4 linked regions of the Macaca fascicularis genome follow. The protein of the gene in region 3 interacts with the protein of the main gene of each other region in a pairwise test. Links are inferred from orthologs where the notes say so. Each region holds a gene or a part of one and is shown on either strand. Other genes may lie near its edges. The genes, in order: TBX22, TBX15, VENTX and RBPMS.

Region 1 (6,981 bases), on a different chromosome or scaffold from region 3:
GACTGGGGACTGTGAAAGGGTAAAGTACCATTCATTTATTTTCTGACTCAACGTACAAATTTTATAGTTAATGAAATGCTTTCTTTCCCTATATTTATTTGTGGTAAGTCATATAACCAGGTCAGGTTAAGAATCAGATTTTACAAATTTAGTGAGCTGAATTAAGGAGGAATATAAAAAGAAGTGGTTCCCATATATATATGGTCAAATCAGATGGAAATAGAGGTTTTAATTGTTAGATATTGGGGTCTATTAAGTATCATTTGGTCACTTTTATAGGCTATTACACACTTAGTCCAACAAAAGTGGCTTTGGATTTTTGTAGATTTCTAAAGCAAGTCTAACGTTAAGTTGATGCAGGTGAAAATGATAGAATTACATATCATTTTGTTTTTCATTTCATAACCATAGCATCAATTTACCCAGTTACTCGAGTTTTGCACCATCCATTGAGGAGTAAGAATTTATTAAACAGAAAATAGTTGAAGACACTAAATATTTACTGTGCATGAATTAGAGCTGTTAGAAGATTTCTGCAAATGAGTCACTTGCTCAGAAGCAGGGGATTGCTTACTGAATCTCTTCAGGTTTCTTCCAAGTCTAATTATCTGTGAAGGTTTTTCCTTGTTTACTTCTTCAATTAAAAGTTCAAAATGACAATTTATGAATATTATTTAATGTAACAACATAAATGTTTCCTTCTTGTATTTAAACGTTTGCCCCTTTATGTTAATCACCATTACCAATGTAATCACATATTACTAGTTTATATGAGTAACATATAGTCATATTATCTGACACATACAGCATTGGGTATATGTATTCTGGAGAAGCTCCAAAATTAATCCCTTCTTTTAAATAGTCACTAAAAAGTAACCCAGATATTTCTTTGATTTTTCAGTTAAATACTTTTTCTTGCCAATTACTGAGGTTCTGCCATGTAGACCTCCGAATGTTTCATTTATAATCTGATATAAGGGTTTCTGCTTAAAAAGTAACAATCCATTTTACTAATTAAAGTCAGCCTTTAGCTTTCCTGTTTGGGAGTAGTCAAAAATAAAATGTCTTTTCTTATTTTAATTTCTGGTTTAATAAACCTGGGTGGTATACATTTTATTCCTTAAAGACTTTTGCAACAGTATCTAATTACATTAGATCGCAAATAATACTTCATCTTGACTAGAATACTTAATTTGAATGCAATCATGTGGCATCCTATCCCTACTCCCAGGAGTGAATGGCACATAGTTTTAATACATATATAGGAAGGCACATTTATAAGGCATATTTGGGATGAAATAATCATTTTAAGCAAAATAATTGATATGCTCTTCTTTATATGTGTTGGAAAAATCAGAAAAATCAGTTAGCAGTTTGCTTAGTTTGTCAAAAGTCAAGTAATTCCATTGTGATATTAAAGGGCTTGGCTTAATAAAATGTCTAGAGTTACTAGCATAAACTCAGTATCTGATTCATCTTAAAGATATGCTGGCTATGTATAGGTTATACCTCATAATTATTTTCAGAAATTTAGGGCCTGGTGAAAGGAATCTTTTCAACTTCATAAACTCAAATATTATTCCACTTTTGTTTAGCTTAATTCACTATGATTGACATACAAGAGTGGAGTTAAATCATACCAGAATAATGATATTTTCATATTTATGGATTCAAATATATTTTCCCTCTTATAATCATAATGTCTTTATCTTCTTAGAGAACTATAATAATATGTTTTTCTAATATTGTGTAAAATACCAGATGTGTTAAAGGAATACATGAACAAGTTTTATCTAGGATTTATCCAAAAATAAAAGAAAATAAAAGCAAATTTATTAGAGTGTTTTACTTTTCATTTGATCTTTGTGTTCCTTCTAGATCAAATGGTCTTTAGGCTACAAAGATAAATAAAATATAATACTTAAAAGTTTGTGTCCTTATTTGTATCTTAAATTGAGATTAGCAGTTTCTTCAACAGCAAAGTATAAAGGCATAAGGCAAACAAGTAATTAAATTTTTTTCTACAACTACTAGATAATGACACTAAAGCCAATCTTCATTGTTAAAACTGAAATTGCTTCACTGCTTGCATGAGTTACATCCTTCTTCTTTTTGTCATTGTCAATGTGTAAAATGCAGTTATCATGGTGAACTAGCTTCACTATAATTGAAAATCCTATCGCTTAGCATCAATTTTCAGTGGTGGAGTATCATCAAATAATATTTATTGCATAGCTCATTTTGAAGCTCAAGGCCACTGTAATCAGAGATTCCTATACGTTGCATTTGACATTATAAACAGCTCTTCGTGAATATTGATAAGGCACTTTAAATCTTTAAATGCATAACAAAGAAATACTTATTGTAATGATGCTTTTCAAGACCAATAACTGTTGAAATTTCTTTGGCTACAAATAAAGAAAATATTTGTTTTCATGTAATTGTTCTAGAAATGCTATTGTTTTACTAAAGGTAATGGTTAATTGCTGGATACCAATGAATATGATTACATTTGCCTTCTCTAAAAGAAACTTGACTGTCGTCATTCACTTTAAGATGGTTGGAATCATTTATCAGTCTAGACGGCATAGAGAAATTGTATCTATAAAAGCCATAGGAAGGATGAAAGGAGCAACTAAGTGCTTCTTGGGTGATGGAGTTTGACAGCAAAATACTTCCAGGTGCCTGTAATCCATACAACATTTGACTGGTAGAATCAGGTGCTTGTAGATACTGATCACCGGAGTCTTCAGATGAACCACTTTTTGAATTGGTGACCCCCAGGGAAGATAACATAGGCACTTCCATCATGAGTGGGGCTAAAGACTGAGAACTGTTGCTGCTTGCTAGTCTTTCAGGAGCCGGTAAAACAAGAGGTTGCTGTTGCCAAAAATTAGTTGGACAAATCTTGCAGCAAAGAGGCAGGTTGACATTGTGCAGGTATGCCTCTGGACAGGGCATTCCAAGGGAACTTGTAGGTAAATGAAACATAGGTGAAAAGCAAGGTGGAGAAAGTAAGTTCAAAGGAGAGGGGGCCCCTCCACTAGAGGTCACTGGAGATGAGCCACTGCTTCCACCTGTGAATGACAATTCAGTCAATGAATAATGAATTTGACATTTGATGTTCCTGCTATATTAGTAATCATACCCATCACTATCCCTGCTTCATCCTTAGATTAACTTTCCTTGTGAGTTCACAGTTCTTTTAGCTTCTTTGAGACAGGACCTGCTCATTCCTCTGACCAAAGTTCAATGTAGTATCTATACCAGGTATCCCTAATGCCTGGGCTACCCACTGGAACAGGTCTGTGGCCTGTTATGAATCTGGCTGGACAGCAGGAGATGATCAGCAGGCCAGTGAGCATTACCTTACTGCCTGAGCTCTGCCTCCTGTCAGATCAGTGGCAGCATTAGATTCTCATAGGAGCGCACACTCTATTGTGAACTGTGCATGTGAGGGATCTAGGTTGAGTGCTCTTTAATGATAATGTAATGCCTGATGATCTGAGGTGGAACAGTTTCATTCTGAAACCATCGCCTCCCAACTCCCACTGTTCATGGAAAAATTGTCTTGGCCCCTGGTACCAAAAAGATTGGGGACCACTGATCTATAATACTACCACTATTACTTTTAGCACTACTACTATGTATCATGTATTAAGCATTCATTTGCTCAAATATTGTGCTAGGCACTTGAATCACATTTGTCCAAAGAATTACAAAGAAATCCAATTATGACTCGGAGTCAATTATATCTTACCAACACAAACTAGTTTTATTATTTTAAAAATTAAAATATTTACATAATAAATAATTTTTAGTAATCTTAAAAAAATACTAAAATAAGTACTTAAGATGAACAAATTGATTGGTTGTTTTGGATTATGTAGATTTAATTTATAGATAGAATGCATAGATTTCATGTACACTGATTTTTTAAATTCTTCTGACCAAAGGTATACTGATTTTAAAAATTCCTCTGACCAAAGTTATAATGATTTAAAAAATTCCTCTGACCACTGATTTAAAAATCAGTGTACATGAAAATAGTCTTGTATAAATGAAAGCAATATATTTAAAAGCCTTAGCTTTTTTTCTAATACAAAACAATGAATGGGGCAATTTCCATACTGCATTGTATCTTAAGAGTTGGAAACAATTTTGCAAGTTAAGAAACATAAAGATGAATGTAAGTATTCATATCAATGATGTTTGGTGATCTTTTATGTTTGCCTAGCTCTACTAAAACTAGGGATAATTACAAGGTCCAGGAAACTCTAAACCTTATTTTTGTAAATGTCTGAATTCAAACAATTGGTTATTGGCTGGATTTGACCAAGTTGTTTCTTTTTTTAGTGTTGCTGTTTTCTTAACTATTTTTGTGTATGTAGACATATCCTAAACCTTCATCAACAAGATTGCAAATATATTTTATAATAAAGCATTTAAAAGTTATTTAAGAAACTAGTAACTCATTTGCAATTTGAGAGCATTTTGGATATCTTAAATAATTAAGAAAACTGTGTACTTTAACATTTCATGATCATCTTTAACTTTTTCTTTATTAATGCGCATTTGTTTTGACTTGGATATTTTAAAAGTATGCTTCCTAGATGCTACTGGTTAAATCGACACTGTAAAATAAGTGTTTATATATTTTTCATGCGATTCCCTAAACCATATCGAGACAATCATCCAGTGAAATATTTCACCAAATGATTAGACTTCACTTCTTCCCTTTTCAGTTAGTCATTATGGCATCATGTAAAACTCAACCTAACTATAATGTTGATTTTGCTTGGTAGTTGTAACCTTGAATTAATGGTCAAAGTCAAGCAACTCCGATGGAGTAAAGATAAAGGGATAAAAAAAATCCATGTCATTTTCAAGTAAAAATTATTCTGTTTATTATTAACTATCAGAGCAAATTAAGGTATTCTTCCACCAGAAAGTCTGCATTATTTAATTGTTATTACTTTGTCATGTAATGTACCATCTGAGAATAAATATCTTGCAAATATTTTTAAATGCTTGTGGCAATTAAATTGTGAAGACTTAGTATTATTTTTAACATTTACTTTCCCCATGGACAAAAAAGAGGAAAATTAGAGCTAAGTGATGAATTTAATGAAAGTTATTTTAACGTGTACTGAAAGGTCCTCATAAAAGATAAACTATTCATTTCAATAGTAACATATCTGCAAATCAGGCTACAAATGCACCACAGGCATATCCTAAAGAACGTGAGATAGTGAGAGGCTGAAGAATCCAGATGAAATCTGAAAATCACAGGGTGTAAGATAACTTACTAACATATCTCAATAAGTCCACAATTACCACATTTCTATTCTCTTCCTTTATGCCAGCTTCTCTCCCTTTATGCCTCTTACCTCATCATTCAGGCAGAGGTACACCCACTTACCTGTAAGTACACATTTTCTTGCATGTACATATCCCTTTGTATAGTATTTGGTACAAGTGTTCTGGATGTTGTTATTTAATTAATATGTAAAAATAAAACAAATGTTCCAAGTTTTCTTACTTTGTGTGTCTGCGCCAAACGTTTTAAAATCGAGAGTGAAAGAAGGCCTCCATGGGTAGGTCTCTAAAAGCCCATCCAATACACCCCTAAAAAAGAGAGTCAACTTTCAGCATCCCCAGAATGCAATTTCTGAACATAATGATTTTGAGTTATTTGGCTATGTCTTTTAGATGTAACTATTTTAAATATTTCTCTTTTATACAGCTAGACTTCTGAATAAAATTCAGTTAAACCTAGAATTCTAAAATAAGCAAGATCTTAATACTGAGTAGCAAAGGAGTGGGAGGAAGTAATGTTTTAGACACAAAACATCTGGGTTCCTTTTCTACCACCTACTAATTACAAAATTTAGAGCGTTTGAGTCTCTGAGCCAGTTTTCTTATCCTTAAAACTTGTGGGGGGCCGGGCGTGGTGGCTCACGCCTGTAATCCCAGCTACTTGGGAGGCTGAGGCAAGTGAATCACTTGAACCCTGGAGGCGGAGGTTGCAGTGAGCCAAGATCGCGCCATTGCACTCCAGCCTGGACAGCAGAGTAAGACTCCATCTCAGAAAAAAAAAATAAAAATAAAAATAAAAACTTGTGAAAATAGCTAGCTACATCAATATTAGATGTCATTGCTATGCTGCTTACCTGTTTCTTCCAGTATCTCTAAATCCTTTAGCAAAAGGATTTCTTTCTATTTTTAGTTTCGTAATCTATGGATTCAATAGAGAGAGAAAGATAATATCATTGCTTTCAGTGAGAACACTGTCACCGTTGCTTATAGTGGTTACAACCACCAGAAAAGATGTTGCAACATGTAATATGACAATTTAAATAAATGTAACCATATTGCAAGTCATATTTAGAATGGTTAGCTCCTATTTAAAAATCATTACTTTTATAAATTACATTCTGGAGTTGCCTTCTCACATAAGATTTACACAATTCATTATCAAACTTGCATGGATGACAATTCAATAAAACTATGATTTTTATTTAGAATTGTGGAAAATGCAACTGATTGCAGTTAGCCTCTATCCCAAGGTCCCTCTGGAGCCATTTCCATTTGCCTGAGACATGACCAGCTTTACCTGTTGGTTTTGGTAAGCCGTTACTGTGGTGAACTCAGTTTCTTTAAAGGAGAATGTTTTAACCCCTTCAGTGGGCAAGGACTGAAGCTGGGACAAGTCAACACTGCTGTCTTGCTCTATCACGTGCACTCGGGGTTTGTACTTATGCATGGATTGCAGAATAATCTGGAGGAGAAATGACCAATGCTGTTAGAAAAACTGGCTTCCAGTCCCCAACCCTAGTTCTCTCTCCTGACCACCTCCACCACGTGCACACTAAAAGGCAATGATGAGGCTTAGGTAACTATTTTGTTATGCCATTTGGCCTCCAACAGAGGCACTCCGAGGGATGCGCTCCGAGCTAAAAACATTTCCAGAGAAAGGCA
Region 2 (6,989 bases), on a different chromosome or scaffold from region 3:
ATTAGAGGCTTGTTAAACAGGCAAAAGCTGTCATCTTGATCCCAAATGGGCAGAATTGAGTATGACGCATCTATTTTGAATGTCAGCACATCATGAATTCAACAATATGACATGACCACAGAGAGATCAAAGTAGTTACCTATGGATTATAATTCCTTTGAGAGCCATTGCAGCTCCTCCAATTTCCAACAATGCACTTTTTCCTTAATAAGCAATTTATTCTTTAAAATTGCTTCTATGCCCCACTTTTCATGCCTGTTCAGACCCAGCCAAGGAGCAATGTAGGCTGACTACTATTAATTAGATGTCAGGTTTGTATCTGTGAATTTACACACGTTCCCTTATGTAGTCCTCATAGCTCTATGAGGTAGGTGCATTTTCAAGACCGGAAACACAAGTTGAAAGGAATTAATGCCACACAGTGTCAATGAAAGGATCAGAAATCAAACCTAGTTTATCTGCTGCCAAATTTCATGATCTTAACCATGGTATCCTGCTCCCACTTCAGCCCAGATGTAAACAAAATATTTCTATGATAGAATGTACTCATGTGCTAGAACACTATCTGTGAAAGAAGGTAGAGGATGTGAAGAGGCTGTCAAAAATCCATGCTTGGTCCTCTTTCATTGCCAAAGTGAGTTGTAGCTTTCTAGTTTCAACTTGGGTTACAATACTGGCTCTCCTGGTCTCTATAACTGATCTCAATAAGGCAGTAGAATGTTTGTTCTTCAGTGTTCTACAAAGTAAATCCTGATGTTGAAATATTTATTGTGACATCACTGCCTTCATCAGAAACTAACTATTTTAAATGGTGGCTGGAGTACTCTTAGAAAAGTCTAATCAGTTATCCAGAGAATTCAGACTCTTACTCCCCCTCTTCTGAGCCAGAACTAATCCCAAAGTTCTGGTTGCTCCAAAGTCCATGTCTATATTGATGCTATATCTTGTATCGGAGCTTGAAAAATCTTAATTATTACAGTTTTCTGTACGGATCCTCCATGGCTTCTGCATTTTTACTATCTAAGGAATTTGAGACAGTTTAATAGTTTCTTAAATAGCACCCAAACCAAACTAAAGCTCTTCTTCTATTTTTGATGAAATGTAGCATTCACTAGGAAAATCTGAAGTTGGAAACACTTTACAGCTGCTGAGAAGTCTAACACTGTATAGTACTTAACATTTAGTGGACTAAGGGTTATTGTATGTCAAATTCCTCTGAAAGTAAATAATACCTAAGGAATCTTATGCAGAAGGACCATGAAAGATAGAAATACCCTTTTTATCTGAGTCAATACTTACATAATTCACCTTCAGCTGCCTGGCACATAATAATCACTTGATAAAGAATTAGTAAATGAATGCTTTTCTATATATTGCTTTCACTATTAGAGCACGAAGCAGAGTATCCAACACAAAAGGTATTGAGTATAACAGTGTACACTCACTTTGCTTCCATAGGCCCCAAATAAAAGTAAGCACAGTTTCAAGCAAAATAAACAAAAAAATTCTTTGTTTTGGAAAGGTTCACTGCAGAGTCTTTGTAATTACATATTTTGACAAATAATTAAATATCATCCAATTAATAAAAATGGCATTCTTATGCAACTTTTAGGGAGTTGTGTAAAGTGAGACCACTTATAAGTCCACCTAGCCACCTTCCTCCAAAAAAAATATATAAAAACAAAAACAAAAACAAAAAACATGTTTAGAATACCCACAGTAATTCTAGACTTGACTTCTCCTTCCCCCTCTCCTACACATATTTCTCCTGCATTCTTCTGGCTAGTGTGTGTGTGTGTGTGTGTGTGTGTGTGTGTGTGTGTGTGTGTACATCAGAAAAGTGTCAACTCTTCCAGGAAAACTTACCTTATTCCACAAACCAAGAAACATTCTGCCTACATCTCTGTTATTGAGTTAATTCATTTTCCTATCATTATGTATTTACACGTCTTTCATTCAACAAAAATTTTTCTTTTCTTGAACAAAAAATACATCTTAATCAGCTCTATTTCTCTGTTAAACTTGGAACATAGTATGTTCTCAATAAATATTTATGGAATGAATGAATGTATTACAGATATAAACTTACAGATCTTATGATGTGGCTGGTGGTCACACAGAAGTAAATTTAATCTGAAAGTGTAAGTGGAAGTGGTGAGTCTTAAATAGACCCACAATAGCTTGATGACTTTGATGTAGCCTGGTGGAAGGATACACAGAAAATTGTGTATAAGAGAGAAGGCATGACTCAAACCTCAGTACTTGCAAAGGAATTCCAAATGATGAGGATCATTTGCCAGGATGTAGTAGACATCATGAACACAGGTGCAAGTACAGAGAGACATAAAAATAATTTAATAGGTTTGGTCTTCTCAGTCAAGATCTTGTCTCTGATCTAAACCTAGATGGTGTAAGCTGTTACTAGGCACTACCATATTGTTATCACCAATGCCTTGTGTGTACTGAAAAACTCTTTTCTCTCATACTAACTCTTCAGTGCCATGCAGGACTAAGCATTTCTTGCCTTTAAAAGAGATGTAGCAGAAGACTCTCAAGGGCCACCTCTTACCTGCTGGTTCTGATAGGCTGTAACTGTGGTGAACACAGTCTCAGGAAAGTTGAACGTTTTCACTCCATCCCCAACAGGAACAGGCTTAGTGGGTGAAAGGTCGCTGCTGAAGTCTTTGCGAATCACATGAACTCGAGGCTGGTATTTGTGCATAGAGTGCAGAATGATCTGAAATAAAAAGGGGACTTGTACCAGGCTTGGCTTTAAGGAACCCACATTTTGCTCTCATGCAAAATAAATCACTAAGTAGAAGCACTAGGAAAAGGACAGAGTGGAGGTGAGATGTACAGAAAACTAGAAATCAGTATACTTGCCAGGAAGAACTAAGCGATTAAATAGCATTACATGGAACCAAATAGCAGGACATCCTTATCATGGATGGTAAAAGTAATATGTTTGCTTCAATTGGATAATGCCGAATGACTTCTCTAGTACCAATGGACAACATATCACTAAAAGGTCTCAGAACCTCTGCCATGTGACTAGTTATTCCCTCCAGCTTCAAATTTTCAGCATGTATTCATGCTGTCTTTAAATTTCTACATTCTATTATTTGCATTCATTATTGAATATGTGAACATTATTTTGTTATGTGAGAGTGAATGGTAGATATGGGTTTTCACTCTTTCAGAAAATTGTTATTTCCTTGAAGATGGAAGCAATGGTTTTAACTTATTCAATCTTCCCATAGCACCCAGTATGGGTCCTGCCATTCAGTGAAAATTCAATATATGTTTCACTGCCAAAGATATATTAATAGTATCACATGCTCCAGTTATACCTGGAAAACCTTAAGATTTAGTCTTCCCTATAAAAAAAAAATTCTTGACAAATTAGTTGAAACTGTCATTCACTTGTTTCTCTTGTTTTATGGCCTTTGGGTTATTCTACTGAATGTTGTGATTTCTTTTACCACTGGTTAATTTGTCTTGTTTTTCTGTCTTGCCTCCTTGACTAGACTGTAAGCCTCTGGAGCACAAGGACTTTGTCTGATAAACACAACTTGATGTATAACAGATGTTTGCTAAATGTTAGATTTGTAATAAATGGAATTTAACTGGAAAAAAAAACACTTTTATGCTTACTTACTTAAAATGACTTAAAGTGGCACAGAGATTCCTTATTTTACCTATTTGAAAAAGACAGGGGCTAGCCAGCTCTAAAACAAACAGGGGAAGAGAGAAAGAAAGGGGAGACAGGATTCTTTGACTCACATGTCCTTGATCATCCAATTCATTGTTGGTGAGCTTGAGTTTGTCAAAACTGACCACCTGTCTCATCCAGGTGTCTCCAGAAGCCAGAGAATCGGGGTGTATATAAACTCTTGGGGGCACAGGGGAATCAGCATTGCCAGCCACCATCCACTTGGAGCTATGATACACATATCTGAGATAAAGAGAAAGAGAGGAAAATTCAGAGACAGAGGCAGAGAAGGGACAGAGGTCCAGGAAACAAGTTGAGACAGGGGAAAGGAGAGAAAAACAAAGAGATTACAGGAATGGAGAAGTAATGGGAAAGAAACAGAGAATCAAAGGAGGAAAAGAGAAGGGCAGATAAGCAGGGAAACGAAATAGAGATAGAAATGGACAAAAAGATGGAGTGGGGAGGGCAGAGAAGTGTTGTGGTTAATGATCAAATCTACAGCCCTCGCAAGGAAAACATTCTCACAGCCCTCTTCCTTTCTTCCCTCTCTCCATGCCATGCACCCCTGTGTGCACACAGGCATCCTGAACTCACATGTCTAGCTATAGAAAAGGCATTTTACTGCAACCTTTCACCTTTCAAATGCAAACCATATAATCCCTTGGCCATTTGTTCAGGATTTTGTTCCTTATTAAAAACATCTTCCATATTGTCCTATAAAATGCAGCCATGTGCAGAGCCCTTCCAAGTCTCTCACTGGTTAACCATTTCCTTGCTAAGAATCTGGACTTTGAGGAATTTCTACGATGGGCCTTTGCCTCACTGCAACCTTTTCAGAAACACCACCAAATACTCGCAGTTCACATTTTCTTTGATGAACCTGTTTTGAACATCATCTTCTACACTATTTTCCCACAAAGTCACTGGAAACAAGACGTTTGGTAGCAAAGGAAGTCAGTTTTCCCAACTTTGCCAATTTTCTTGTAGTTCAGAAGAAACATCTTCATGGATCTGGCACTTTCCTGCTTCTCAGTTCTAAAGGACCACATGGGACCTGGACCCTGAGAAATAGAGGCACCCAGTCCAAATCACAGCTCCCAAGATTCCCTAAAACAAGCTGGAAGCATCTTTTCTCCTAAGTGCTGAAAGTCAGACCGTGTCTCTCTCAGCCAGCTCTCTCCCTGCTTGAAATACTAGTCCTGGCCTTTTTCATCAACACTTGCCTCCCTATTCATTGGTTTAGGGCCAAGTTCTTAGACTTTAGATATTTCAAAAATGAGTAATGATTTACTGATTTGAGTGAGACCTCAAGAGAACAAATAAGCCACAACTTTTTTTTCTGGCAAGAACTATGTATAAGCCATCCAAGAGACATGGAGATTACATTGGCTTTTAATCAGTTTGAGGGAAAATTACTTAACAATCTCACTCACAACCCATATCAATGAATAATAATTCTCCCTAAGTAGATATTCTTCCTGAAATTTTACCCAGTTCTCCTGTTCTTCCTCTCCATCATCTATGGGGTAATCCATCAAATATACATTTTAATATGCTTTATTGTTCCACCTCTCCTTCCTCTTTCCAAAATAAATCACCCCAATTTATTTAGCATTTCACAAACCAAATTATTCAATATGTTAATCACTTCCAATATTAATTAAATTAAATTTAGACTTAAGATCCACTTGATTTTTGCTACCTTGGGAGACACTATACAGTCCCATTCTATCCAGAGACATAGCAGGGAATCCCAGGTCAAAGTTAACACTTTTTCCACCTGGTGCTCTGCCACAGGCCATTGACATAGTCTCCATTCCTTGTTCCCTGTACAGTATGCATTGTTAAAATATTTCCTCTAAGGAGTTTGAAGAATTGTCTTGGAATGCTGGTGTACCCACATTTCCACATCCCAGTTATTGTTACCTGTATCTCTTATTGTCCACAGGCACAATATCCATTGCTATGTAGTACTGCTGATGTGGATCTAGGCCAGTGATTTTCACTCTCATGGCAGGAAACATCCTCCTATATAGATGAATAAAACAGAAAGCTCAGAAATCAGAATGGGAGAAGTAGCAGGGGTAAAAGCTAAAACAATGTTTTTTGTTTTTGTTGTTGTTGTTGTTGTTGCTGTTTTTTGATATGGAGTCTCGCTCTGTCACCCAGGCTGGAGTGCAGTGGCACAATCTTGGCTCACTGCAACCTCCACCTCCCGGGTTCAAGTGATTCTTCTGCCTTAGCTTCCCGAGTAGCTGGGACTACAGGCATGAGCCACCATGCTCAGCTAATTTGTGTGTGTGTATGTGTATGTTTAGTAGAGACGGGGTTTCACCATATTGGTCAGGCTGGTCTCAAACTCCTGACCTCGTGATCTGCCCGCCTCGGCCTCCCAAAGTGCTGAGATTACAGGTGTGAGCCAATGTGCCCGGCCTAAACAATGTATTCTTATTAGATACTCTAAGCACATCAAATTCTAATGTCCTCTAATTCTCAAAGTTGGCCAATTTTTTTCACTTTGGAAATTATCACTACAAAATATACTGGAGACTTATACTACTGAACTAGTATCTCTTCTTAACTTAAATTGACCTATTTGATGATTCATACTCTCCAAGGGTTCAACCCTGCTTTGTATTTTTAGTTAATCTTTGTTGTGATATACATGTATACATAGGCATGTGTGTGGATGTGTGTAGCCAGACATACATTTCCTATTAGCTATAATCTTTTCTTTTTTATATATACTTTAAGTTCTAGGGTACATGTGCACAACGTGCAGGTTTGTTACATATGTATACTTGTGCCATGTTGGTGTGCTACACCCATCAACTCGTCAGCACCCATCAACTCATCATTTGCATCAGGTATAGCTATAATCTTTTTAAAGGTTAGTACAGCAACTTACACTCTTCTTATAATCCAAAGAGCTTTTCAGTTTATTGCAAGTTACCATAAAATATTTTCAACTGAGTTTATTTGAAAATGACCACTCTAAAAATAGTCTCTCAAGTAAAAAAGAAAAAAGGAAGGTGTGACCAGTCTCCAAACAAAGAGCCACCAAGATTTTTTAATGTGTAAAACTGTAGAAAATTTTCTGCAAGTTCTCAGGCTGTCAACGTGTGTGTCAGAAGAAGGACCCTGTGGAATTGGAAGCAAATACCAAATGAATTCTCGTGGCCTCTGGGCAATACCTTGTTTCTACCACAATGGCTTGTTAAACTTGCCAAAGCAAGTGAGGTCAGGATATAGCACTTTACAACTTCTCTCATAATTG
Region 3 (7,774 bases):
ACAACACCGGGCCAGGGCCCTTACTCACCGGGGGAGTTCAGGGCCAAGACTGTGTGGTTTGCGGCCCGGGGCCACACAGGGGACCGGAGAGCAATCCCCAAGGGCGGCGAGGGGCACTTGTACTTTTATCACGGATGTGCCCCCATCCACATCCACAAATCAGTGCTGCCCAGGCCCCACCAGGAGCCCCTGTCCAGCCACTGCCCTCCGAGGGCCTCGCCCAGGCTTCCCTCACGTGGTCACTCACCAGGACGGACGCACAGCAGCTGTTCTCCTCTTACCTGGTGTATTATAAAATCACATCCAGCTGTAAACACTTCCAACAAGGCAGAAGCGAGCAAGGGGAAAGTGGAACTCGCTGTGGACGCGGCCGCAGGACCACGCTTCTGCTCCCGTTGGGGTGCCCGGGTGGGTTTCACAGGTCGCAGTCCTGCAGGCTGAACCTGTCGCCTGGGCGCCCCGCACTGCCTGCCCCCGGGCACTCTGAGGCGACGTGGACGGATGCTCACTTGTCTAAGTTTCCACACATGCAGTCAGAAGTCTGCACCAAGAATGGTCCATCGATGGGGGAGTTCTCCCCGGGAGGGGCTTCCCAGCCTCCCATTCTGGGCACTCCCAGACCTTCTGCAGGAAGTGCTGTCCTTGAGTCATTCTGTTTTGTCCCGAGGCTGCTGTGAGGAGGCGGCAGGTGAGCTGGTGCTGGAGGGCGGGGACCTGCGGGACAGCTTCAGTCCAGGCACAGCCGCAGGTCCCAGCTGCCCCACCTTCCCCGGCTGGAGAAGAGCCCCCAGCAGGCCGTGGGCAGTCCCGGCTCACGCACCGCCCAGAGCACACTGCAGGACCCCAGCATCCCCGCCTTCATTTTCACCTGTTCCCTCCTGCTTTCCAGCTTTGGAGTTCTTGTTAAGAGGGACTTGAACCACAAGGCTGTAAACACGACACCTGCATTCCCTTCCAATCCTTCCTGGTTTTCTTTTTTACACACAAAGCTTACCACCTTTACTGTTTCCAACTGGAAAACCAGTTTTTCCAACACTTTTTAAAAAACAAACGATCCTTTTATCGTACGCTGAAAGCCCTACCCATGACAAGCCCACTTCTGCATCTGACTCTGTTCACTGACCCTTCATTTACTTCCTAAACCGACCCTTTCGGTAACTTTCAGTGAAGAGGTGGCTTTAATAAATATATTCTCAGGGCCGGGAGTGGTGGCTCACGCCTGTAATCCCAGCACTTTGGGAGGCCAAGGCGGGCGGATCACGAGGTCAGGAGTTCAAGACAAGCCTGGATAACATGGTGAAATCCCGTTTCTACTAAAAATAGAAAAAATTAGCTGGGCGTGGTGGCGTGCGTCTGTAATCCCAGCTACTCAGGAGGCTGAGGCTGGAGAATCGCTTGAACCCGGAAGGTGGAGGTTGCAGTGAGCCAAGATCACGCCACTGCACTCCAGCCTGGGCGACAGAGCGAGACTCTGTCTTTAAAAAAAAATACATATATATACACATATACATATATATAGAGATAGATAGATACATACATATATATCTATTCTCCAGAAATCTCCAGAATCTTTGTGTGGTCAGGGTGAGAGGCGCCACCACGATGTAAACACAACAGCTGAGTCCTCCAGGTAGGAGCCAGGTGCAATCCGCAAGACTGTGAGCGTGGGAGAGAGTCAGAGGTGCCTCCTCAAAAGGCATCCCCTGTCTCCGGCAGAGCGCACAGGCCCCAGGGCCCCGTGGACAGGGCTGGTCCCGGTGCAGGCAGGCCACTTCCTGTGGTTGGGGGGTGGTGCGCCAGAGGTTGCCTGCAGCAGGAAGCCCCCGTACAGGCCAGGGCCTCCTGTTCCACTTGGCAGAGACCCCAGAAGGAGCCCGGGGGCAGCATCAGAGCCTGGGGCCCAGGCAGGGGTGCCCAAGGGCACAGCAGCTGCAGGCCATTGGCAAGGCCAGAAGACGGTGAGTGGAAAGCTGGGGGCACGTGGAGAGACCCCAGGAAGGGGCTGTTCGGCGGGACTTCTTGCATTTGCCGTTTGTGTTTCATCCGGCGATTCTGAAACCAGGTTTTTATCTGCAGGAAAACCAAAATCAGAGCAGGGGTGAGACTAGGCCACCGGCCCACCCTTGCCCACCTCAGCCCGGCCCGCCTCACCTGGACCTCTGAGAGCTGCATCTCCCTGGCCAGCCTCTTCCGCTCAAGAGGGCTCAGGTACTGGTGGTGCTGGAAGACGCCCTCCAAGGTGCGGACCTGGTCCGTGGTGAAGGCTGTGCGGACACGGGGGCCCCGCAAGGTATTTGGCTCCTTACTCAACCCTGGCATAGAGGGTGAGAGCATTTGGCTGAGCCTGCCACCCCATGGGGCAAGCCCCGCCCACAGGTAACAGGTGAAGACAGCATGTTGGGGGCTGGGCAGGGCAGATCTTCTCACCTGACAGTGACCAGCAGCCCTGCCGCAGCCTCCAGGTCATGTGCGTGCGGAAAGGGGCTGAGAGAGGTGACTCAGGGGAGGGAGAATGCTACCAGCAGCTTGGGCCTGCCCTCCGCTCGGCTGGCTCAGCTCACTCAGTTCGGCCCCATCCCACACTTCCCTTCCGAAGCCGGTTCCCAGGATACCCTTTCTGCAGACTTCCAGGCAGGTAAGGTAGAGTCCATTACATGCAAAGGCCTGGGGACCCACCCAGGGAACTCGGTCCCTGTCCTGGGCTCCGGCTCCTCAGCCAGCAGAGCCCGGCTCAGTTAATCCCCAGGCCCACCTTGGTCAAGTCTGTTTTCTAATTTCTAAGTTAAGGAATGGGGGCTGGCACTAAACAACCCCACAAGGTGGTGTGTGTCTGGGTCCCAGGAAGGAGGCCAACGTGGCGAAACGAGCTCAACATTTAACTCAAGTCTGACCCAAATGCTCACTGGAGTTTCTGCGGAAGGAAGCGTATTTTACAAAATCTGTCTTCACGTTAGCCTGAAAGCACATGGGAGACCCGAAAAGCAAATGCCTTGTGGCGGGGAGGGCTGTAGGACTGGGATCAGGAAGGGGGTTGGGGGACAGGAATGGTTGACTTTTTTGGGGTGGGGCAGGATAGCTAGCTGGGAAGAACATATTTAAATTTTCATTTCCCTGAAGTACAAAGTTACTCCATGAGGATCAGTCAAATTTTTAAAAATGAAAACTTATGTTAACCCCACTTTTGACCAAGTACTACCTTAAACCTAAAAGCGGCAACGATGTCACAAAGACTAAAACACAAACGCGGAGAACCTTTGTTCTCAGCAGACAACAGAGCATCTCCGGGCCACAGACCGAACTTCAGAGTTTCTGCAGGCACCGGGTCACCGCCGCCCTACAGCAAACCTGCAGGCTCTTTAAAAGACAGCTGTGCTCCAGGTGGCCTGGAAGGGGCTTGAGCCTAGATGCTGAGCAGGCACTGGCTTTGCTGGGGGCAGAGGGGGCTTGGCAAATCGTCGGACCCCTGGAACTGGGTCTCGATGGTTGCGGGGCTGGAACACTAGGGGCACAGGTGCCCACGCCCGCGCTGTGTTTCAGTGAGCGCCCGGAATCAGGGCAGAGAGGTGCGGACAGGGACCCCTTGGACGGTCCCTCGGCACCAGGCCGCGGTGGGACACAGCTGAGGAACGGGGTGCCAAGGGAGGCAGAGGAGCCCACCGAGGGCTCAAGGAGAGAAAATCCCCGTCAAGGCTTTGGTTTCGAGGGAAGCTGCGCTCCAGTGAGGCGCAGGCAAGGCCTCCGCCGGCCCTCATGGACACGTCCCCGGCCCTGTCCTCGTCCGCCCCGTACCGCGGGGAGTTCAGCCGCCGGGCTCCTGGCCTCTCCCCCACTCCCATCTCCACCTGGGAAGGACCCCCGGCCCGGACCTACCAGCCACGGTCCTCTCCGGCGCAGGCAGATCTGAGGACGTGGCGGCCTCCTTGATGCTGATGGCCTGAGGGGGCTCCCGGGCGCCGGATATCTGGCCCGGGCCAGGGAGGCTCCCCGGGGAGACGTCGGCAGGCCTGGGCGAGGGGGTCAACCCTGAGCAGCTGCTCTGGGAGAGCCAGTCCACAGAGCCAAAGCTGGAGGGCTGCTGCTGGCCACGAGGTGGGGAGGAGGAGAGGCGCATGGCGGCCAGGTGGGCCGGAGGGAAGGCCGGGCGGGGCTGGCCAGGCGCAGGATCCACCTCCGGCCTCGCCGGGCGGCGGCGTTTATAAGCCCGGGAGGAGGGGGCGGGAGCCCGGTTTGCATACACGGCTAACGCCCGGATAAGCAGCGCCTAATTGCCTTCGATTCAGAGACACAAAGGAGACCGTTCACACCTCCCCGGCTCCTCGGTGTCTGGGGCAGGGGCGGGGCTGCGGGCCCTGGTTAATGGAGAGGGGACGGTTCGGCATCGGTCACCTCCTTTCATCTCTCCCAACCCCCACCCCGCGGGCCGAGGCTGCTGGAAGGTAGGAGGGTCCCGCTCCCACTCGGGCCTGCCCTGGGCGGTGCCGGGCGACCTCTCCTCTCCAGGGGGACGCTGGCGCCTGTGCCCAGCCCGGACACCCGAGGGCGAGCAGGCTTCAGGCTGGGAGAGTCAGGGCGGACTCAGCCGGTGCCCGCGTGCGCTGCGTCCAGGCTGTGCGGTCGCGCAGGAACCGAGGGACGCTTTCCGGGAAAGACGCGGAGGGCTCGGGGAGCGGCGCGCGGGGACGGCAATGTCGGGAGGGGCCTCTCGGGGCACTCGTCCGCTTCCAGCCCTACTCCGGCTCCTCTGGGGGACTCACTCCCGGGGCCATCGCAGCAGCCTCCGCATGCGGGCGCGGGCGGCTCCCTGACCCCATCCGGAGCTGGAAGGGCCGGAGCCACTGCCTCGCGCGGCGGGGTAGACACTCCGCTTCGGCTGCGGGACTGGCGCGTCCCCGCCAAGCCGGGCTGTCCCCACTGTGGCCAGGGCGGGGGCAGAGCCGCCGGGGACTGTGGAGCCCAAACCTCACGGGGACGCCTTGAGCACGGGCTCCCGGGACGGTCATCGCGACGCGCGGCCGCTGCTCCCACGAACCTTGGTCCCGAGTTGTTTGCGTCTCCGCGTCCTGGGCGTCCCCGGGTCGCCTGCGCCGTCGGGGTGGGGCGCGGGGCCGAAGTGGCCGGGTGGGAGGCAGCCACGCCGCGAGCGTTCCCTCCGGCCTCGGACCAGCTTCCCGCGCGCCGGGACACACGGACTCGCGTTGCGCCCACGCCGAGGGTAGGACGGTGTCTTCCGCGCACTGGCTTGGGGTCCACACTGCGTCTCCGGCGGCCGGGGTTAGGCGCGGGCGCAGGTCCGAAGCCATGCGGGGTTTCGGCGCAGACGGGGTCCAGGGAGCAGCCCCGACTCCCGGCCGGGTCCTGACCGCGGTTGCCTCAGCGCCCACCCCGCTCTCCGAAATCAGAAAGACCCGCGGGCCTCGCCCCACGGTTACGCCCAACCCGGCTATCCGCGCCTCCCGGGCTGAGAAAAGAGGGAGGAGCCCGGGAGGGGGGCGCTGGGGCGGGACCTCACGGGGAACAGGTGGGTCACAGGTGACGGGGTCGGGGAACGGACTGCGCCGCTGCTGACCCTGGTCTTCCTCGGACCCTGCCGACCCAGTTAGGCCACCGGGCCCTCAAGGGGGAGGCTGGCAGGGGTGGGGCGCTGGGGGCTTTGGACGTGGCCTCGGGGGTAAAACCAGGAGGGCTGGGGGGCCAGGAAGGCGGCCTAGACCCCGTCCCCACTTCATCTCCGGAAAGACCGGGTCACCCCCGGGAGAGGGGATTTGAAGCCACTGCCCAGGACCAGCAGAGTGTTCCGGCCAGGGGCAGCGAGGGCCCAGATGCCTACGGCCACAGGGCTGGCCCCGAGGATGCCCCATGAGGCAGGTACCCAGCCCTCCCGCAGTGGGGGCGGCCCTGCCACCTGGGAGCAGAGGCCCTGAGGGTGGGGGCTGCGGCGGGGCGGTGCCTCAAAGTGGAGCAAAACGCAGCACACCCTCACCTCCCACCCCGCCCCCCAAACACACACACAGAACTTTCGACAGGCAGGGAAAAGGCCCAGAAGCATCCCTTACATAAAGAGGAAACCACTAGCATGGGTTTGTGAAACGCCAGCACCCAGCCTTCCACGTCTCCATCTCTAATTTCCAGGGGCCCGGCCCCGAGGTCTCAGCCACCTTCTGCACGTGGTTCAGCTCCCCTCGCCGGCCCCAGCTCTGCATAGAGCTCCTCCTGCCAGTTTCCCAGCTCCCCCGCACCACCTCCACCTGAACCGCCCCTCCTCACCTTCACACAGCAGGGCCAGACAGCCCCTCGTCCTGGGCCCCCACCCCAGCCCCTTGCTGCGGCTTGGGTGGCCCCTCTCCCCTGGCAAGCGGCCCCACCGCCGTGGCTCAGGCTCCCCCGACTCCTGCAGCCCGGGCCTCTGCCTCCACCCTCCCTCCAGGGCCCGCGGAGGCTGCTCTGGCCCAGGTCTGGGGTCACCAGAGCCTCCGCCTCGGAGCCTCCGTCCGCCCCCAGCTCTGGGACGCGTCCTGATGCGCCGCCATGGGTAGGAGACTTGGGCGCTCCTCCGCCTCCTTCCTCCCAGCCCCTGGGGCAGCCCAGCCCCGAGAATTGCGCCCCGCACGCCGCACAGGGTGGTCCCCGCGGGCGTCGCCCCATTCCCCACCCTCGGGGTCCAGGCCGGGTTGCGCTGGGCAAGGAAGTCCCGCGTCACTCCCAGGCTGGCAGCCCCGCCCCCACGCACAGCCCGGAGCCCAACTAGTCCCCGAAACGGGCTCCCCCCGAGTCCACGGCCTGAGGACAAGCACCGGACCTAGCGTGTGCTGCCGCCGGGTCCAGACCGCCCTGCTCCCTCCGGCCCCGTCACGACTCGCCCAAGCCTCCTCCGAGCACTCTGAGACCACCTGAAGGGGAGGCCCCAATCCCTCCCCAACACCCACCCCCGCGGCCTCGGCCTCACTGACACCCTCACGTGCCCTCTTCCCCGTCCCCAACACCCTCCCGCTTCCTGCTCTCCTGGGACAGCCGTGCTCCCCACTCCCTGAGACATCCTACGCTTCCCCTTCCGCGACACCCACCCTCTTCACCCTCCCCTAGACATCCACGCTCTCCTCTAGACACCCCCACACCCCGCTCCCCGTCACCCCCACGTGCCCCCTCCCCGATACCCCCACGCCCCCACCTCCATGTGCCCCTCTCCCCCACACCCCCATGCTCCATCCCCCTACACATCCTCGGGCCCCTCTCCCCGACACCCCCACGCCCCCTGCCCTACACATCCACCGCCCCACTCCCCAACACCCCCACGCTCCCGCTCCCCCTCCCCTACACTTCCAGGCGCCCCACTCCCCGACACCCCAAGCTCCCCCACCCCTACACATCCACACTCCCCACACCCCCAAACTCCCCTCCACTACACCTCCATGCCCCCCTCCCCGACACCCCCACGCTCCCCACTCCCCAACACCCCCATGTCCCCATTCCCCAACACACCCACGCTCCCCACTCCCCTTCGCTTGTCCACTAGGAAGTGGTGCTGGTCTGGTGCCTGGGGGCTGAAGAAACGCTAAACCGGCGGGCCGGGCGCGGTAGCTCAGGCCTGTAATCTCAGCACTTTGGGAGACCACGGCGGTAGCTCACGCCTGTAATCCCAGCATTTTGGGAGGCCGCGGGGGTAGCTCATGCCTGTAATCCCAGCACTTTGGGAGGCCGCGGCCTGTGGGTCACCTGAGGTCGGGAGTTCCAGACCAGCCTGACCAACATGGGGAAACTCCATCTCTACTAAAAATAC
Region 4 (7,788 bases), on a different chromosome or scaffold from region 3:
AATCTTTGATACTGTTTCCTTAGGGTAAATTTCTAAAAATAAAAGTACTAAATCAAAGGGCCTGAACACATTTTGACAGTGTCAGTCCTTTCTGAAAAGCTGCACTAATTTATATCACCACTGCTCTGCACAAAAGTACCCACTTTATTGCCTTATCACCAGCACTGAACACTTTCATCTGTAAAGCAAAAATTAATATGAACCTACAAAAATCATATGAAAGCATCTCCAGAAAAGAGCTTCCATCCCTTCTAAACTACCCATCTGAAAACTAAACGCCACTGGCAACGAAGAAGCCTGCAGACGCACACAAGGGTTTATCAGGGAAATGTTTAAACCGCTACTGAAAAAATAACTCAAAAAGTGCATGCCGTACTGGCAGGGGTCATGGAGCATCAGTTGTCACCAAATCCTATTCTACAACTGAAATATATGTTTATTGCATTGAATTGGACTATTGGACTCGGAATAACAGAGATCCCCAATCTTGGTTAAATTGTATAAAACCATTCTGTACCTTCCTGAAGTCATAATGTAGACTGACTTTAATGCTCAATGAAAATTTGAGGTTGCCTGATACTGACATTACCCTCTCTGTAGCAACTGTAAGAAACAATTTTCTTTACAACCCCAATATTTTGGCAAAATTAGTAAACACTTTAAAAGAAGGAATGCAAAGTAAAGGTTTGCATTAACCTCTGAAGAACTGACTTTATATGATTTCTGCACATCTTTTTGATCAATATTCCAACACTTCCATGTTTTTTGCTTCTTTAGTTTTACTATAAGTACAAGTCAATTCAAAGCAATTTAAGGAGAAATTAACACCAGAGCTTCAATATAATAAAAGGCCTTTTAAAGATGTTTTATAATCGGCCTGAAAAGTACTCAATGACATGCATAAAAGTAGAAATAAAAACCAAATCACATATTTAATCTAAATTTCTATCTTGAAAATTCAGTGACCAACAAATAAGTTACTTCTAGCTATAAGACAGAAAAGGTCTTCATATATTTGAAAATACTTTAAACTCAAATTATAACTGATTAGCCAAGACAATTATGGATCTATTACTTATATATTAATTTTTATAAAGTCTGATTGCAAAATTAGAGAAATTCTAGGAATCATTTTATGAATTGTAAAATATAAGAAATGGTATGATACTCTAAACATATATAAACAAACCTTGTAAATGTGAGATTTTGACAACTGATTAGTCTTTACAGGACAACTTGCTTAGGGGACACACACGCATAATACATTTTACGTGTATTATACACGTATTTAATGTAATAATACATTAAAAACCAGAAAGCTAAATGTATCATCTCTCTTACACAACTGGCTAGCCAAATCCTAAAATTATTTTTCCTCAAAGTTTTCAATGCTATCTAAAGTAGAAGTATTAATACACGTTCTGCCCAAGTTCTCAAAAACGTCCAACCCTAAAAAGCTGCAAAAATTTTCCTAGATCCTGAACTGTTCATTCTATACAATTAGAACCAATTATTTCAGGGTAAGCATTAGAAACTCTCAAAAGCGCTAAAATACACTAGTTGATAAAAGGAATTCATTTCAAAACTAGAAACACAGAAAAAATCAAACCTGGATTCAATGTGGAGAAAGCCGAAACCACCCTCATGATCTGTGAAATAAACTATTTTCCCTTAATGACGATTGGACTCATTTTTCCATGTCAGTTCAATGGCCACCAGAAATTACAACAAAACACATTTTTCCTCTCTTGTCATTATGTGTGTGTGTGTGTGTGTGTGTGTGTATATATATATATATATATATATATGTTGTATGTGTGTGTTCTGTTTACCGGAGTCCACTGCCAAGGTTTTTAAATGTGTTTAAGAGCAAGTTGCTGATGCGATGGGTGGGCAGGGAAAGGGTCAATGTAGTGGTTTTGTGTAATGCCGGGCTCATTAATGGCACTTACCAAATACCCTATTTATTTTAATTGTGGCTTTCAGGGTTAGAAAGAAAAAAACCAAAAAAGAGGGTAAGAGTTTTTCAAGAACAAAATATAAACCAAAAATAGGAAATTAAGGCAAAATTACCCGGATCATTCAGGCCACCTTAGTTTCTTTTCCTGAATTTCTGACATTATAAACCCCCTCTCTTCACAGTCTTATCTGTTTTGTACACGACATCTCTTGGACAACTTAGGTTCTGAAATCTTCCTACCAGTCCCCTTATTTTTTACATAACAAGTGTTTTGCTAAAAATATCGATACTTTCTAGAGCCTCATGCCATTCCTACCTGAAAAAGAACACTGTCAGGTAACAGGACAAGTAAGAGGCAGCAACCATACTGCAATGGTCCGCGATTATACAGCAATTATTACACACAACCTCGCAAGGACAGAGGAGCGTCCAGGAACAGGGCAGGCAATCCCTCGGTGCTGGCAGCTGTTAAGATGGGTCAAGCGGAAAAATGTGCCTTTTCTATACTTAATTTTAAGTGGGTATGATTTTTAGGACATTGAACCTCTTTTGCTACCCACCAAAAGGAAAAAAAAAAAAAGTTTTCTCAACTGGGTAAATAAAGATGGTTTGATATAATATTCTAACCCTGAGAAGCAAACAGATTGCACATTTAGCTGAAATAGGAAGATTTCTGAAGCGATAATTATTTTGATATGGTAAGTGAATTAGTTAACTATAGTAATTCCTAAAAAAGCAAATTTAAAAAAGCATTATTTTTAAATTTTTTTAAGTGGTAGGGAAAATAAATAGCAAAGCAGCCAGTAAAGTTCAAGAAAAAAAGTTAGAACATACCATTCAACTCTCCATTGCTTTGAAAAAAGAAACGCCAGTAGCATTCCTACACTTGTAATTAGAAAACATGCATGTAAACAACTCTTCAAATAGTCTTTTATAATAAAATAGAAAATGTCCTCGGGTGAGAAAGCAATTTTTGACTGACTGCAACTCATCTAGGTTTTCACTACCATACAACTGGGTAAGAGAGTAAAATCTCCGATTTTGCACTGTTTGGCATAGTCTCGCTCCTCTACCTTCTCCACCTAAATAGTTCCCATTTTCCAAGTGGACAATGTGCAGAGAACTTGTATGCATTAATGAATTCCTCTGCAATTTTGGTTTCACTATCAGAATTGAAGTTTGCACACAACAGTGTCTCAACAATGATCTCAACGTCCTAACGCTTTAGAATCCGTTTACCTTCTGTGTTCACCTAGATCAGGATGCAATACCTGTGTGAATCTTTTCGGGTCATATTGAGACATGCACTTTCCTGCATCTGCACACACTCTCAAGTTCCTCTAGAATGTTAAGAACTCAACTGTGTGTGATATTAAAAAGTACGCCAGAAGTAATTTCTTGGACTCCAGATAATGTACCTGCAGAAACAGTCATTTGGTAGGATACCACAAATACCCTACTACTGAATTCTGAAACGTTTGTTCCTGAGTCCGACTCCCCTTCTGACCACATCTACTCAATTTTGTTTCCACCGAAGGAACGCTCCGCAGTCACAAAACTTTCATCGTGAGGACGCACCACCTAAAATGCGTGCTCAGAAGTCAAAGTCCTATAAAAGTATCCTCGATGAGCATTTGGTGAATTGCTGCGTTTTTAACCCTCTTATTCTGCTCCCCTCATCTGCACGGCCCTAAATTCGCAAGCGTTCACCGCCCAGGTTCGGGGTCTTTGACTCAGCAGAGAAGAATGTGGCTGATGAGTTATCTATTAATCCAAAAACCCTCGGCTAGAAAGATATTTCACCAAGAACTTTTAACACGGAAAGGGAGGGGGCAGGGAACAGAGGTATCTTTTAATGAAAACTTTTCCCCGAGTTTCTTCCTTAAACTGCCCCCCCGCTACCCCGAATCCACACACAATTTCCAGCCCCAGCCCTAAGTCCTGACCCTCCGAGTCCCGATATCTGAGGTCACCCAGGAGTCAGCTCTCGGTTCCACTTTTTAAATCCCGGGCAAACAAAGCTGAGCATTATACTTACAAAAGTCTCCGAAAAGTCCTTAGAGTTACGCAATTTGGGGCCCGCAGACGCGCGTGGACACAAAAACACACTTTCCCGAGATCCACCCTCCCCGGGCCACACTGCGGGGCTGCGTCCCGGGCACGGGCCATGCCTAAACCTTCCACCGCCGCGCCCCGGGCCCGCGCCCGCGCCCCGCCGGCCGCCCGCACTGGGTCCCGGATCGCCCCCGCCACTGCACCGAGCCGCCCAGTACCTCCTCCTCCTGAAGGTTGGCCTCGCTCGGGGTGTTCTCCTTCTCGGCTTTGCCGCCGTTGTTCATCTTCCCGGTCCTTCCTCGCCGGGCCGGGCAGGGCTGGGGCGCGGGGCTGGGCGAGGGCGCGCTCGCCCACTGTAGCCTTCCCCGGGCGCCGGGGCTCCCTCGGGCGGGCGCCGCGGGCTGCGGGGCTGGAGCTGGAGCCGGGGCAGTGGCTGTCGGGCTGGGGCTCCCGCGGCGAGACTGCGACGGCAGCGGCGGGCGACTCAGGAAGTACGAGGGAGAGACGGGGCAGGGCGCGGGCCGAGAGCGGGGCACCGAGACAATCGGGCCCCGGGAGGGCGACCTGGATAGGGAGGGCGGGAGCCAGGGGAGGAAGGAAGAAGGAAGGAAGGAAGCAAAGGATGGGGCGAGGACGCGCGTCCCAGGAGTAAGCGCAGAGAGTTGGGGCTGGGGGCTGCAGCCGCTGGAAGGAGGGGACGGGGGTGCCTAGAGAGGAGGAGGAGGAAGAGGAGGAGGAGGAAGAGGAGGAGGAGGAAGAGGAGGAGGAGCGGGGCGGAGAGGCGCGGGCGGCGGCTGGGACGCTGGGACCCGAGAGCCGCTGAGTGCGCGCTCCAGGCAGGCTCTGGGAAGTCCGGGATGGAAGCAGCTCCCTTTCTCTCGTCTTCCTCCCTCCCCTCTCCCCTCCCTCCTCTCCGCGCCTCTCCTCCTCCCTCCGCCCTCCCTGGACGTGGGCTGCCGGCTGCAGCCCGGAGGGACGGGGCGCGGGACGGAGCCCCCCGCGGGAGGAGGGGCCGGCGGCCGGATGGCGCGCGCCGGGGAGGGGCCGCGGGCCGCGGGCGGAAGCGGCGACCCCAGCCCCAGACTCGGCGGCTGGTCGGAGGGCGAGGGCCCTGGAGGCCGAGGGCAGGGGAGGTCGGGTACTGCAGTTCCCTCGGCCCCCGGGGGCCCCGGCGTCTGCGCGCCCCGGGACTTCGGGGACCCTGCCCCGCCGGGGCCAGGACCGGGAGCTGGGATGTGTGCGACTTTTGTTTGCCGGCTTTTACCATGGGATTTGCACCCCTGGCCCTAAGCCCACCCTTCCCGAGCCAGACCCGGTTCTTCCCCTGCTGTTTGAATGACAGGATGAGAACTCGAGGGACACCGGGGACAGCCCCCTCCGGGCCGGCTTTTTCAGGACAGGGCTTCAAACCCATCTCCAGCGCGGGTCCTGCGACGCGCCCGGAGCCTTCCCCGCTTCGCTGCCTGGGCGTCCCGCGGCCCCCGACTCCTCTCCCAACTCTCACCCGACTGTTCTGGGATTGTTTACTTGGCCTCTCCCTCACCCTTCAGAAAGCTCCTTCCTGGAAGAAAAAACCACAAACTTACCCTATTTATCTTTTTAATCCCACGGCTATTTAAACGAGCTACCGGGTGTATAGTAGGCACTCAATAAATATTTGTTGGCAAAGTGAATATTCCTCATTGCAGGCAGAGCTCGGGGTCCACACGGAGGAATTTCAGAGGCTGGAAGCACACTTGAAGAAGAAAGGGGGCCTGGGCTTTGCACCAACTTCAGGATTGCGTACTTGTTTCCTCATCCGTTAAATGGGAGCAGCTGAATGTGTCTCCTAGCGTTTTCGAGATTGTAGGTTGATAGAACTATGTACAGCACCCAGTATTCATTCTTGCTTCGTTTAGGTTTACAATACATGGAAGCTAACATTATTATTAAGGAAACTTCCATTTTTCCCGGGCCTTAGAAAGCTTTTCCAATACTCGATCGTTAAAGCCTCTGTTTTTTTTGTTTTTTTTTTTTTGTTTTTTTTAGAAAAATGAGGGTCTCACTTTGTTGCCCAGGCTGATCTCGAACTCCTGGCCTCAAGTGATCCTCCGGCTTTTGGCCTCCCAAACTGATGGAATTACTGTCTGGAACCACTGTGTTAAACTCTTAGATTTGACTGCTACAAATGTATAAATGTGGAACTCCATGTATCAGTGGGTTCTGCCCCACTTCTTACTCCCAGGAATTCTCCGTCCCAGCCTGCTGCTCCTGTCCTGCACCAGTAAGTTTCTAACTACAGTATTTGCTTAACTGTTTCTCCCCACCCCCCAGCAGACATTCTTTATACTGATTTAAGTGCTGCTGGGGATGGGGGGGGGGCGGCTGTGGGCGTTGCAGATAAGGACCCTCCCTTTAGGGAGTTTAAAGTAATACGGTGGCTCACGCTTGGAATCTCAGCACTTAGGGAGATAGAGGAAAGAGGATTGCTTGAGCCCAGAAGTTCAAGACCTGTCTGGGCAACATAGTGAGACCCTGTTCTCCACAAAGAGGGGAAAAAAAGAAAAGACAAAAAAATAAAGTGGTATGGAGCCAAGATACTCTCAGAATCCTCTTTCCGATTATAGAAAGCGAGGAAAATATTTGCTTTAAGGGCATTATGAGAAAAACAGTAGTGATACTTGGATTTACATACTGGGTTTATCTTGGGGGTTTGGAGATTTTGAAACAGGAAGATTTCCATAGGGAAAAGATGTTTTTTAATTGCTGTCATAATGTGATTTCTCTCTAAGGGGAACAAACATGTATCCTGGATGAAAATAAACCAAGTCTATTGAAATTGCAACCCAAGACATTCAGAAGAGACAAGGCTACAGTGAATCTGGAAAGTTTGCACGTGTTTGGATGTATTGATTGCCTTAACTGGCAGCCCTTTGCACTGCCAGCTTCTCCCTCAATTACATGAGGAACCACGAGGGGGCAATGTCTACCCGAGCAATAATAGGTGAGTGGTGGTCTTAGGACCCCGTGGTGGCCCATGATGCTAGCACTGTGTCTTTGGCCATTCTTGCCTGTTATGGAGCGTAGTCCACAGAAGGGCATGGTCTTCTTGGAGCCTGGCATGGGCCCAACAAAAATGACAATGTAGTCAATAGTTCCACTCAGACTTCACTTGGGAGCAGGTGGACTACGTTGTGTGATATCAGGATGCCTGGAGAACCTCTCCTATCCCCACCCAGAGAAGCATGGCTTAATTCCAAATAAAGAATCTGGTTCCTTTGTCTTTAAGCCAAGCCAGGACTTTGTCCATTGTTAAAAGTCAAAAATCTCTGGGATAAGAAACAAAAATAAGTTCCAGCCGGGGCACGGTGGCTCATGCCTGTAATCCCAGCACTTTGGGAGGCCAAGGTGGGCCGAATACATGAGGTCAGGAGTTCGAGACCAGCCTGGCTAACATGATGAAACCCCGGTTCTACTAAAAATACAAAAAAATTAGCTGGGTGTGGTGGCACACGCCTATAATAGCAGCTACTCGGGAGGCTGAGGCGGGAGAATTGCTTGAACCCGAGAGGCAGAGGTTGCAGTGAGCCAAGATTGCGCCATTGCACTCCAGCTTGGGCAACAAGAGTGAAACTCTGTCACAAAAAAACAAAAATAAGTTCCAGGAGAGGATCCTTATCTGGCTTATTCACTGTTGTATTCCCAGCATCTAGACAGTGCCCAACACATAGGAGGCACTCAGTTATTTTTTAATAAATGAGCATTTTAAGTCTGATGGGTTACTGATTCTTAGG

Evidence for each region.
Region 1: the proteins of VENTX (region 3) and TBX22 interact in binary tests that used the Homo sapiens proteins (3 or more experiments, as listed by UniProt). The two-hybrid records come from large-scale screens. The link is inferred for Macaca fascicularis from reciprocal best matches to the Homo sapiens genes VENTX and TBX22.
Region 2: the proteins of VENTX (region 3) and TBX15 interact in binary tests that used the Homo sapiens proteins (3 or more experiments, as listed by UniProt). The two-hybrid records come from large-scale screens. The link is inferred for Macaca fascicularis from reciprocal best matches to the Homo sapiens genes VENTX and TBX15.
Region 4: the proteins of VENTX (region 3) and RBPMS interact in binary tests that used the Homo sapiens proteins (3 or more experiments, as listed by UniProt). The two-hybrid records come from large-scale screens. The link is inferred for Macaca fascicularis from reciprocal best matches to the Homo sapiens genes VENTX and RBPMS.

Annotation. Positions count from the first base shown.
Region 1 is NC_088395.1:86,616,455-86,623,435, reverse strand, and holds the end of TBX22 (T-box transcription factor TBX22), read right to left. Parts: intron 6,782-6,981; coding exon 6,617-6,781; intron 6,239-6,616; coding exon 6,174-6,238; intron 5,629-6,173; coding exon 5,543-5,628; intron 3,078-5,542; coding exon 2,467-3,077; 3' UTR 1,779-2,466; downstream 1-1,778. UniProt on the Homo sapiens protein: Probable transcriptional regulator involved in developmental processes. This is major determinant crucial to palatogenesis.
Region 2 is NC_088375.1:115,504,778-115,511,766, reverse strand, and holds part of TBX15 (T-box transcription factor TBX15), read right to left. Parts: intron 5,741-6,989; coding exon 5,639-5,740; intron 3,956-5,638; coding exon 3,784-3,955; intron 2,738-3,783; coding exon 2,570-2,737; intron 1-2,569. UniProt on the Homo sapiens protein: Probable transcriptional regulator involved in the development of the skeleton of the limb, vertebral column and head. Acts by controlling the number of mesenchymal precursor cells and chondrocytes.
Region 3 is NC_088383.1:142,306,192-142,313,965, reverse strand, and holds VENTX (homeobox protein VENTX), read right to left. Parts: upstream 4,541-7,774; 5' UTR 4,112-4,540; coding exon 3,871-4,111; intron 2,625-3,870; exon of another isoform or gene 2,468-2,624; coding exon of another isoform or gene 2,428-2,467; intron 2,313-2,427; coding exon 2,152-2,312; intron 2,071-2,151; coding exon 1,690-2,070; 3' UTR 268-1,689; downstream 1-267. UniProt on the Homo sapiens protein: May be involved in ventralization.
Region 4 is NC_088382.1:33,582,330-33,590,117, reverse strand, and holds the start of RBPMS (RNA-binding protein with multiple splicing), read right to left. Parts: upstream 4,861-7,788; 5' UTR 4,300-4,860; coding exon 4,234-4,299; intron 2,841-4,233; exon of another isoform or gene 2,798-2,840; coding exon of another isoform or gene 2,795-2,797; intron 1-2,794. Other genes in the region: uncharacterized protein, read left to right, coding at 4,873-5,634.